2 linked regions of the Oryzias latipes genome follow. The protein of the gene in region 1 interacts with the protein of each later gene in a pairwise test. Links are inferred from orthologs where the notes say so. Each region holds a gene or a part of one and is shown in the gene's direction. Other genes may lie near its edges.

The links.
Region 2: the proteins of sgtb (region 1) and rai2 interact in binary tests that used the Homo sapiens proteins (3 or more experiments, as listed by UniProt). The link is inferred for Oryzias latipes from reciprocal best matches to the Homo sapiens genes SGTB and RAI2.

Annotation. Positions count from the first base shown.
Region 1 is NC_019870.2:4,514,138-4,518,587, forward strand, and holds the end of sgtb (small glutamine-rich tetratricopeptide repeat-containing protein beta), read left to right. Parts: intron 1-489; coding exon 490-589; intron 590-671; coding exon 672-776; intron 777-859; coding exon 860-998; intron 999-1,071; coding exon 1,072-1,134; intron 1,135-1,213; coding exon 1,214-1,251; intron 1,252-1,327; coding exon 1,328-1,411; intron 1,412-2,000; coding exon 2,001-2,112; 3' UTR 2,113-2,121; intron 2,122-2,199; 3' UTR 2,200-2,837; downstream 2,838-4,450. UniProt on the Homo sapiens protein: Co-chaperone that binds directly to HSC70 and HSP70 and regulates their ATPase activity.
Region 2 is NC_019862.2:28,824,820-28,830,085, forward strand, and holds the end of rai2 (retinoic acid-induced protein 2), read left to right. Parts: intron 1-581; 5' UTR 582-656; coding exon 657-2,252; 3' UTR 2,253-3,398; downstream 3,399-5,266.

The DNA of each region.
Region 1 (4,450 bases):
ATAACGTTTTTCTTCACATTTATGCTAAAAGGTCTGACTTTTACAAAATGTTCAGAGAAAAAAGGCACAATTGTGCCCTTTGTTAAATAATTGAACTAATAACATCATGTTTATAAAAAGTATTTCTCTTACTTTTATGAGAAAAGTCAGAATTCTCCATTTTATTTGCACTCAAAAATGTTACTTTTTGCATTGTGAATTCAAATGTAGTTCCTATTATGAACTATTATGAAACATGAAAAGCCTCAGTCAAGTAGAATAAAACACTCTTTTATCAGAAACTGGTTGTTTTAGGCATTTAAAAGAAACTTGAAGAGGATTTTAGATTCTCCTTTTTACTTTTGTTGTTGTGTTGTGTTTTTTTTTCATGAATATGCCTTTTTTTCTAATAAAAGCATAATTTCATGTAATCCTGAGCTCAACAAGCTCCAAGTTTCTGCTTTTTCTTTGTTCATCGCGATAAGATCTAAATTTTGTTTTAACTATCAGGGAACAATCACATGAAGGAGGAAAACTACAGGTGTGCGTTGGACTGCTACACACAGGCCATTGATCTGGACCTGAGAAACGCCGTGTATTACTGCAACAGGTACTTTGGAGTCTGATTCCTGCACTTGTGCAGTATCGGGCTGCAGGTTGTCATATTTTGATGGGATAAAACGTCCTTGCAGGGCTGCAGCTCACAGCAAACTGGGGAACTACACTGAAGCCACAAGCGACTGTGAAAGAGCCATCGGCATCGACCCCACCTACAGCAAAGCGTACGGCAGGATGGGGTGAGCGTCTCTCCTGCTAACCGGAATGAGTGGCGAAAAATAGCTTCTTGGTCTGAAGGATTTTTGGGTTTTCTTTTCTGCAGTTTGGCTTTGACAGCTATGAACAAGTATCCTGAAGCAATCTCCTACTTTAAGAAAGCCTTAGTGTTGGACCCTGATAACGACACCTACAAGTCCAACCTGAAGATAGCGGAGCAGAAACAGAGGGAAGCGTCCAGCCCGGTGAGTTCCAACCCATTATTTTGTCTTCCACCCTCAACTTTGAGCATCACATGTCTGTAAATGTGTGCCGCAGATAGCGGCTGGACTGGGGTTCGACATGGCCAGTTTGATCAACAACCCGGCCTTCATCAGCATGGTAGGAGCTTTTGTGCGGTTTTTAAACATTTCCGAGAGACGCCACGAGCTGGAGCTGCGTTTGTTGTTGTTGTCCGCAGGCGGCGAGCGTGATGCAGAACCAACAGGTGCAACAACTGTGAGTTCCTTTCTCAGTAAATGTTGGTCTTAGATGGAGTTCAGCAAACGCTGAATCACTGCCGATGTGTGCTCAGCATGTCAGGAATGATGTCCAACGCGGTCGGGGGTCCTGGTGCCGGAGTGGGGGGAATGTCGGACATTTCCAGCTTGATTGAGGCGTAAGTACCCCGCCCTTGAATCCAAATGAGATACACAGTGTTCGGACAACACTTTAGGGTCGAAGACGTAAATTCAAATATGAATAACATTTTTTTTTCCCCAGCTTTGTTTTAACAGTTTGGCAATGAACTACTATGAAGCTCTGTCTTAGTAACACCACAGCTGTCGGCAGCGACACCTAAATAACGTACGCTCCGAACTACCGAAACTCCTCAACCATTTATGCAATTAGTGACATTTCCACAGACTGTTCATGAAGGCGCATCATAATTAAAAGACCACTTGGAATGGGAGTGGGACTTTAATAGTTTAACTGCTTCAGGAAATAATCTGGGCTCGTTACAAGTTTTCCCGAACCCGTTTTTCTCTGGGTTTTTAAAAAAAAACCCAAATCCTCTTAAAATTAAGCTCAATGAGACTTTCCTGTAAAATAATCCCCTCTGAGCTGAATTGTTCACTCCAGTTTAGTGTTAATGCTCTTATAATTACAATGGGTTTTAAACTGATTTGTCTACAATCTTAATGTCGTCGTTTTTCCACATTTGTCAGGAAGCATCAGGTCAACAGATCCTCTGCTCTCTTGTTCAGGGGACAACAGTTTGCCCAGCAGATCCAGCAGCAGAACCCGGAGCTGATCGAGCAGCTGAGGAACCACATCAGGAGCCGCTCCTTTAGCGGCAGCGCTGAGGAGCACTCATGATCCATGCAGGTACATTTCAAGCCGAACTCTTCCCCGACCAAACCAAAACACAAGGAACCTGAAACTTCCAACGTTTTGTTTTTTCAGTCCCAACTTTCCTTCTTCCTAAAAGAGCAACCATGCGGCGCCAAAATTAATCTCAACACCCATTTCTTTAAGTCAAATCCCCGGCTTAGCTGGAACGAAGAGACGAGGAACGGGTTGAAGGAACTTTGACTGAAGGCTCTCAAGAGAAGGCTGGAGAGCCTGGTGACGGAAGAAAGAGCCTAGAACTCATCAGCCCACTGACAGAACCCAGCGAGATCCCTTCACGTGTTTGACATGTGCCGAAGCTGCCGCCCTCTTCACTCTTCATGACCAAGAGGCGTTTCTCACACAAATTCTGCTCAATTCCGGTTGGTTTGTGACATTTATGTCATTTTTGTAGACAGAACTGTAATTTAACGCAAAACCATCCCTGAACTGGTGGGACTTGTTGCTTCACATTGCGCATCACTTTGAATCCAGGCGACTGCCGACGTGTATTGCAGTATTTGCAGCCTGTTGTTCTGTTGTTTTTAGCACTTTAGCAAGAAAAGACCTGCTGTCCCCTTTGAGCCAATCTATTCAGTTATCCGGTTTGTTTGCATGCTCTTTAATCTGGTGTTTGGGATCAGATGGATAAAGGTGTGCCGAGGCTGGATCGGGTTGATTGAAGACGCACAAATAAACGTTTTCAAAACGAACTCTTCCTCAAGTGCTCATTTAATTCAAATGATACCACCGTCCGGGTGAATACTCGATTCTGATTGGTTGCCGGGTGTTACATAGCCCAAATGTTCTATATCACCGCGTTGGCTTCCTTAAAACAAACTTTTTCTTCATCATCTGGACAATAGCAAGCGGCAAAAGGTGAACTTTCTCTCTGAACCGATGCTTTTCCTTTTGACGCTGCAGTCGAGGCTGGTGACGGTCAGCTGTTACCATGGCAACGCGCCACACCACACATCAAATACTCCACTTTTTGTGAAAAGCGTGTTTAACCGAAAAAATGACAAGAAAAAAGTTTTTTTAAAAATGGATCGAACATTGATTTATTTTGTAGGTGACCATGGCGTAGAAGGGATATCGTCAGAAATTGACGCACTTCCGCGTCGTCCGTCAATATCTGATAATTTATTATCCCATATTTAAAAGTCCTATATCATGCAAAATCACCTTTTCAAAATCAGCTTTTAAGTGTATTATAATGTTCATTTGTCACAAAAACAACCCCAATCCATTCACGCATTTGTGAGTGGTCTCTGTACTCTGAGCACCAGCCCCTCCCAATCCACAGAAACAAGTGGGTCCTCACAGTGTGACGTCACATAGTGAGGAACAGCCCCTTCTAGGAAGAACCTGCGCTGCCAGCTACGCCCCCACGCCAACATACACGCCCACTTTTTTTTCCCATGGAGCTAGTGGTGATCGGCGAAACGCTTTCTTTTTATTTGCACATCCATCCAAAAGTTCGGATGCTTTTTGTTTTCGTGGGTGAAACGCGGACACACTGCCGAGGCCGGCTCTAGGTTGAGGTCATGGAAAGGGGCGGCACCCATGCGGAGCGAAAGGCGGAGCCTCAGAGATCAAGTCGTCTTACTTCCAAATAGTAAAATGAGCTGCAAAAACTCGTATTTAATATAAAAATTGTTCTTTAGTGTGCCAGAAGTGATATGTTATCATAAATACAGATATTGTTTACTCTGAAAGGCTTAAGAAAGGCATGATATAGGCCCTTTAAACACTCAGTATTTGGAGTTTGTGACATTAATTCAGCTTTGTGCCTTAAAATATAATATAAATCAAAAGTTATTAAATTTAACTCCGCTCTCGTCTTGCTGCATCTAATATAAGCAGTTAAGAGAAATGCACGTACCAGGGCTGCCAACCTTTATCTCTAAGATGTACCCCCCTGCTCGTTTTTTTAGTTCTCTCTGCACTACTTTCTGCTCACTGAGCAAACCAGATTCAGGTTGGGAGTAACAGGAAGTTCAGGGGGAATTGGATTAAAAAGATGAGTGTGGTAGATCTTCACAGCCAGGTTTGGCAGCCCTCGCATTCACATTTTCTACTCAAGGTATTCACTGAAAAACATCCTTTTCTTCATTATCTGCTTTTTTTTAATTTTAAATAACATTTTTAATGTTTTCGTAAATAATTATTGTTTGGAGCGTCTAATATTCAGAATGATTTATTTTGGGGAAAAACTTTTGAGTGTTGGCTCCGGATCACAAACATTTTCAAACTGATCCTGTGGCACAAAACAAGAGCAAAGGAAAGTTCACAGAGAATTTATTAACACTTATTACACATTTAC
Region 2 (5,266 bases), on another chromosome or scaffold:
CACTTAAAATCTCAAAAAGTTGATTTTGCGTTATATATCATTTCATGAAGATTTTTCCTGACAAGATGCAGTACAATCAACCCATCAAACCCATTTTCTTTCTATTTTTTATGGCCAACAGCTTTTCATTTGGCTTTTTATTTAAGAATTCATGAATGTATTCCTGAAAGTTACACTTCTGTTTCATTTTATTTGCTGGATCTGTGAACACGGGGCTGCATGGGGCGCAGTGGTTTGTGTTTTGGCCTCATAGCAAGAAGGTCCCAGTTCAAATAAAGTTTACATGTTCTCCCCGTACTCATGTCCTCCCACAGGCCAAAAAAGGCTTCATAGGTTGATTGATCTCTCCAAATTGTGCCTAGGAATGACTGAGTGTGTGGAATCTGCAGGGATTCAGCAGGTTTAGAAAATGAATGGATGGATGTAAACTCCGTTTTTTAACCAAACAAAATAGACTTTTGAAAAGAAATGTGCGAAAATGAATTCATATTTGATCCAATCCTGACTTTGACCGTGATGTCAGGGGCCACTTCTTAGTTTTGAGCTGCTTTCACCCTGAATCTCCGTCTCCTTGGTTTCAGGGCCTAACAGCAGGAGTGATGGATCAGCGGTCGCTCTGAAACCTGAGGTTCTGCGTTTCTTCGATGGTTTAAATCATGGACGACGACGCTCTGAACACAACGGCGGCGCAGGCCGAGGAAGTCGGTGAGCCACTTGGCAAAGCGGAGAACGGAGGAAACCCGCTGGCGGCGGATTCCTTCGACGACAGCATGGCGGGTCTCAACAAAGGGGGCCTCAGCAACAATGCCGACAACCCTGCACCGCCAGCCGGAAGCCCCAACCCAGAACCCCCAGGAGGAGTGGCGCTCAAAGTGGCAACAACTGTCATCCACCCCGTGTGTTTGGGAGACAGCCCACTGATGCTGCCCATCCACCTTCAGATGGCTGGAGCCTCCGCCCCTCAGCTCGGCCAGGTGGGGGGAGCGCCCTATCTGATCACAAGTCAAAGCCCAGTTTCACTTCCACTGGTTCTGGACCAGCAGGTCATCCAGCACATAAGTCACTCTGTGATCCCTCAGAGCCCCGGCTGTACGCAGTTGCCGCGCCAGAACAGCCTTCTGTGTCAGAACCCCTTGACCTTTGGCCTACCCGCAGCCGTGGACCCAAAGGCGGCGGGGCAGGCTCAGGACGCCAACCTTCTGTCCCTGCTGCAGAACCCGGCTTTCGCCTCCATCATCCAGGACCTCTTCCCTCCGCAGGTGGGTCCATCCACCTGTCAGTCGCCAGGCTCCTCCTTCTTCTCCCTGCCTCCCCTCACACCCCCCTATCCACCTGCTTTGGCCCCCCTGGTCCCACCAGCCACAATTTTAGTCCCTTACCCCGTCATCATTCCCCTGCCGGTGCCTCTACCCGTCCCTCTGCCCGTTCCCATTCCCATCCCGCAGACGGAGGACACAAAGGGGAACGTGCCAAAACCCGTTTGCACTGTGAATAAAAGCACCCAGACATCCGCCAAAGATGCTACCTCTCCTCCTCCACCCTCGAGGAAATGCCCGCCGTCCTTCCAGCCACAGAGCGCCACCGCCTCAGCTCAGGAAGAGGGCCAGGTTCTGGACCTTTCTGTCAGGCCTTGCCCTATTGAACCAAAACAGGAGTATCCCAGTCCACAACAGGAGAGCGTTCTGGACCTGTCAGTGCCAGGTCTGAGGAAAAAGTCTCTTCAAGCAGACCGGCAGGTGGGGTTGCAGGACCCAAGAGGAGCTGCTCTGTCTCTGGGTGTGGAATGCTCTCAGAGTTTAGACTCTAAACTCCTGGGGAGTCTGGCCTCCCTGGAGTTCAGCCGGCAGCACAAGTGGGTGGTAGACACCAGTGCCACCGGGTCCAGCTCCTTGGCGCAGGAGGCTTCTCTAAGCGGAGCCGGGAATCTCGAGATCGTCAGCGCCTCGCAGACGGCCAAGGTCATCGTCTCTGTGAAGGACGCCATCCCCGCCATCCTTTGCGGGAAAATCAAAGGCCTGTCCGGAGTCTCCACCAAAAACTTCTCCATCAAACGGGACGGCAGCCAGGGGCCGTCGCTGCAGCAGCTCTACGGGGTCCCGTCAGGGTCCCACAGGGAGCAGCAGGACCCAAACAACCCTCATAAAAAGGTTTCTAAAAGTCGAGCTATCAAACTGAAGAAGGTCAGCTCGCAGGAGATCCACTTCCTTCCCATCAAGAAGCAGAGACTGGCAGCTCTGCTTCCCAGAAAGTGATGCACTTCTGCTCCCAGCAGGAGATGTGGCACACATGGAGCCTTCAGCACTAAACCCGCGGACGTCCAGTCAGGTCTCCATTGTCAGTCAGAACACAAAGCTTCTCCTGGCTCAGTGTTTTTGAACCCAGGCCAAAGTTTTGAACCATCAGTGACGGTTCTGGACCATCATGGCAGCTTCTCTGGTTCTCCTGGTCTGAGGTTTGACTGTCCAGCATCAGCACAGACACGTAGGTTCTTCTCCTAATCCCCTTCCAGCTTCATGCACTGCACTGGAAACTGAAAATCAGAACTTCAAAGCTATGAAAATCGCTCTTTCCTTATTGGTAGCATGACTTAGCAAAACAGAAGCTGCAGCGTCCTCAAATATAAGTTGCTGCTGGCGTCCTGGCTGCTTCCTGTCTCATCAGGTGAATCCAGGCAGACGTCCCTGACGTCAGCCATGATCAGAAAATGAAGGGACCCGCTGTGGTGAAGAACTAAAGACTTTCTTTGCTTTATTGTGGAAAAAAAACGAGTGTTTTGTGTTTCGATTAGTGAGCTAGTAGAGTCCGTGTTGATCAGACTCCGCCCACTCCTGGGAGGCGGTTGTGGTTTCGTGTCTGTTCTGTTGAGCACTGAGTGTTGTTGTTATTTAATCCCATGGCGTGCACTTTTGTCTCTGTCCCAGAGTTTCCACGTCGGCTCCTGCCTCGGCCCCTCTGAGTGCAGCAGTCGTGTAAATCTGAGAGCTGCAGGCCAATAACTAACAGCAGCCACATACAGAGATGGAAAATAGTTTTTCCACTCCTTCCCGTGTGTTCTTAAGCAATCCCAGAACATCCCTGCTGTAAAAGGTCGCTCAGATTTGGACTGAAGCTCCTCTAATTTATTATCCGTACGGCTTTTATTTATGTTTCTGTTTTGGCTGAATGTGAGGACGGCTTCTTCATGTCGCTGATAAATCACCTGTTGAAGTGTGCTGCTGTTGGATATTTGCTTACTGTGCTGTGTGTGTGTTTTTTATACCTGTTAGCCTCTTTTTGACGCCGTTTTTGGAAACTCTGTGTTGTTTTTTGCCATGAAACTAAATGGGGGGGGAGATCCCTCAGTGAAGCAGGCGGATCTTTGTACTCATGCTTTGCATTAAAATGATTCAATCCCACAGCAACAAGACATTTCTTTAAGAACTAAAGTGTTCCAGATTTGTCTGCTTTTATTTTGAAAAGTTTGACTCTTTATAGCTGAAAAGTCACTGATATACTCAGAAACCATACAGATTTCTGCAGAGTTGTGTATCTTTCCCTCTCTCATGACATCATATGCATCTCAATACATTATTCATAAATCAATGCGATTCAATTAACTTTTTCTGCAACACCGTCCAATTCTTTTACCTAAATGGACACAATCTAGATATTTATCATTCACTTGGCATTTAAAGTCCCACTCCAATCCTTTTTTGATCTACTTTAAAAGTGTTCCCAGTGATCTTTAAATTATGATAATGCACATTTTTTTATCATTTTTTAGGACATAGGTTCTGCAGAGCAGCAGGAGTTCATTAAAAATTCACCTCCCAGTTGTGGGCGGGACCGTCGGCGCAGAGCAACCCCGTTACTACTTTCCCGCCCCATTGCAGAGAGTCCTGTTTTTGTGCTCTCCCTCTAGCTTACAGCCCCTCCCTAACACACCCGACCCAACATTAGCGGTGCAACAAAAACAGTGAGCAACATCGTAGCTATCCAGCCGTACAGTTCGGATCCAGATTCCAGCTCAGACGGGGACAAAAAAAAGACGTTCATGGATCGGTTTGTCTACAAGTGGATGCATCAGAATGGAGCAGAGCAAGGAGCTTAAGGCATTTTCTACGTCACAACTGAGAGCTAAAGAAATAAAATAATTTAAGCTTTAACTTTATAGACATATATATATATATATATATATATATATATATATACGGTATATATCTCCATCATCATAAGAAAACTGCTAAAAGAACATATTAAAATCATAATTTTTGAGGTGAGTCTTTAAAACAATATATGAAAGTGCCCTTTAACTATATTTTTTCTTTACATCAATTTTTTATTTTAATCAACAAAAAACAAAATGTCTTTCTGACAGCTTCAGTTCTAAAAGTTTTGGTTTTTTCAGACATCTTTGTTCTTTGTGGTTAAAACATGTCATTTTATTGTTTGCAGTACTGTGGGGAAGAAAAGGGTTATCCTGTATTTACTGTGGTTCACCTTCTGGCCATTGCAACTGACCCAGCTTAGTAGAAGCGAGCTTATGATTGGACGTCTTTTTGTTTGCATCACCTGTACATAAAAAGACAGACGGTAGAGACACAACAGAAAGAGAAACCGATTTTTATACCTTTTTACCAACAGAATCTGGTTTGAACTAGATCCAGTTTTCTAGACGTATCTGGACATCCCTGGATATTAAATGGTGTATACTTGTATACGACTTTCCTGCATTCACGGTCCCATTCACGCACAGCCGAACGCCGGCCCCGACCTGTAACCACCAGGAGCAACGTGGGGTTCAGTGTCCCCGGACACTGAGACACATGGGTGGCAACTGAACCTACGATCCTCCAATCAGAGGTCAACCGCTCTACCGTAGATGTCTTTTAATATTCTCCCTCAGATAAATGACAAGCAGACTGTTTTCCTTTAGTAGGTTATAGAAAAAAATACACATCATACCCACACCCTTTGTCGGGTGGGACTCCATGAACAAGGTACATTTTCCAACATAGTTTTCAAGTACTTTTTAAAAGGATGTATAAACAGCACTTCCATCCTGTGTCGAGTATAGTATGGCACATCTTAAGGTAAGGGGCGGGGTCACAGGACGATGCTGTGTTTTATATAAACATTATGCTACAAAAGCTTCTATCAACAAAGAGCACATCAACCTGAGAAATGTCAGAGGTGAAGCAAGGCAGGAGTCTAGTATTTCAACTAAAAGCACTGCGCGAATATTTAACAAAAAAACAAGAATGAAATACTTTCCCCTTGTCTTCAC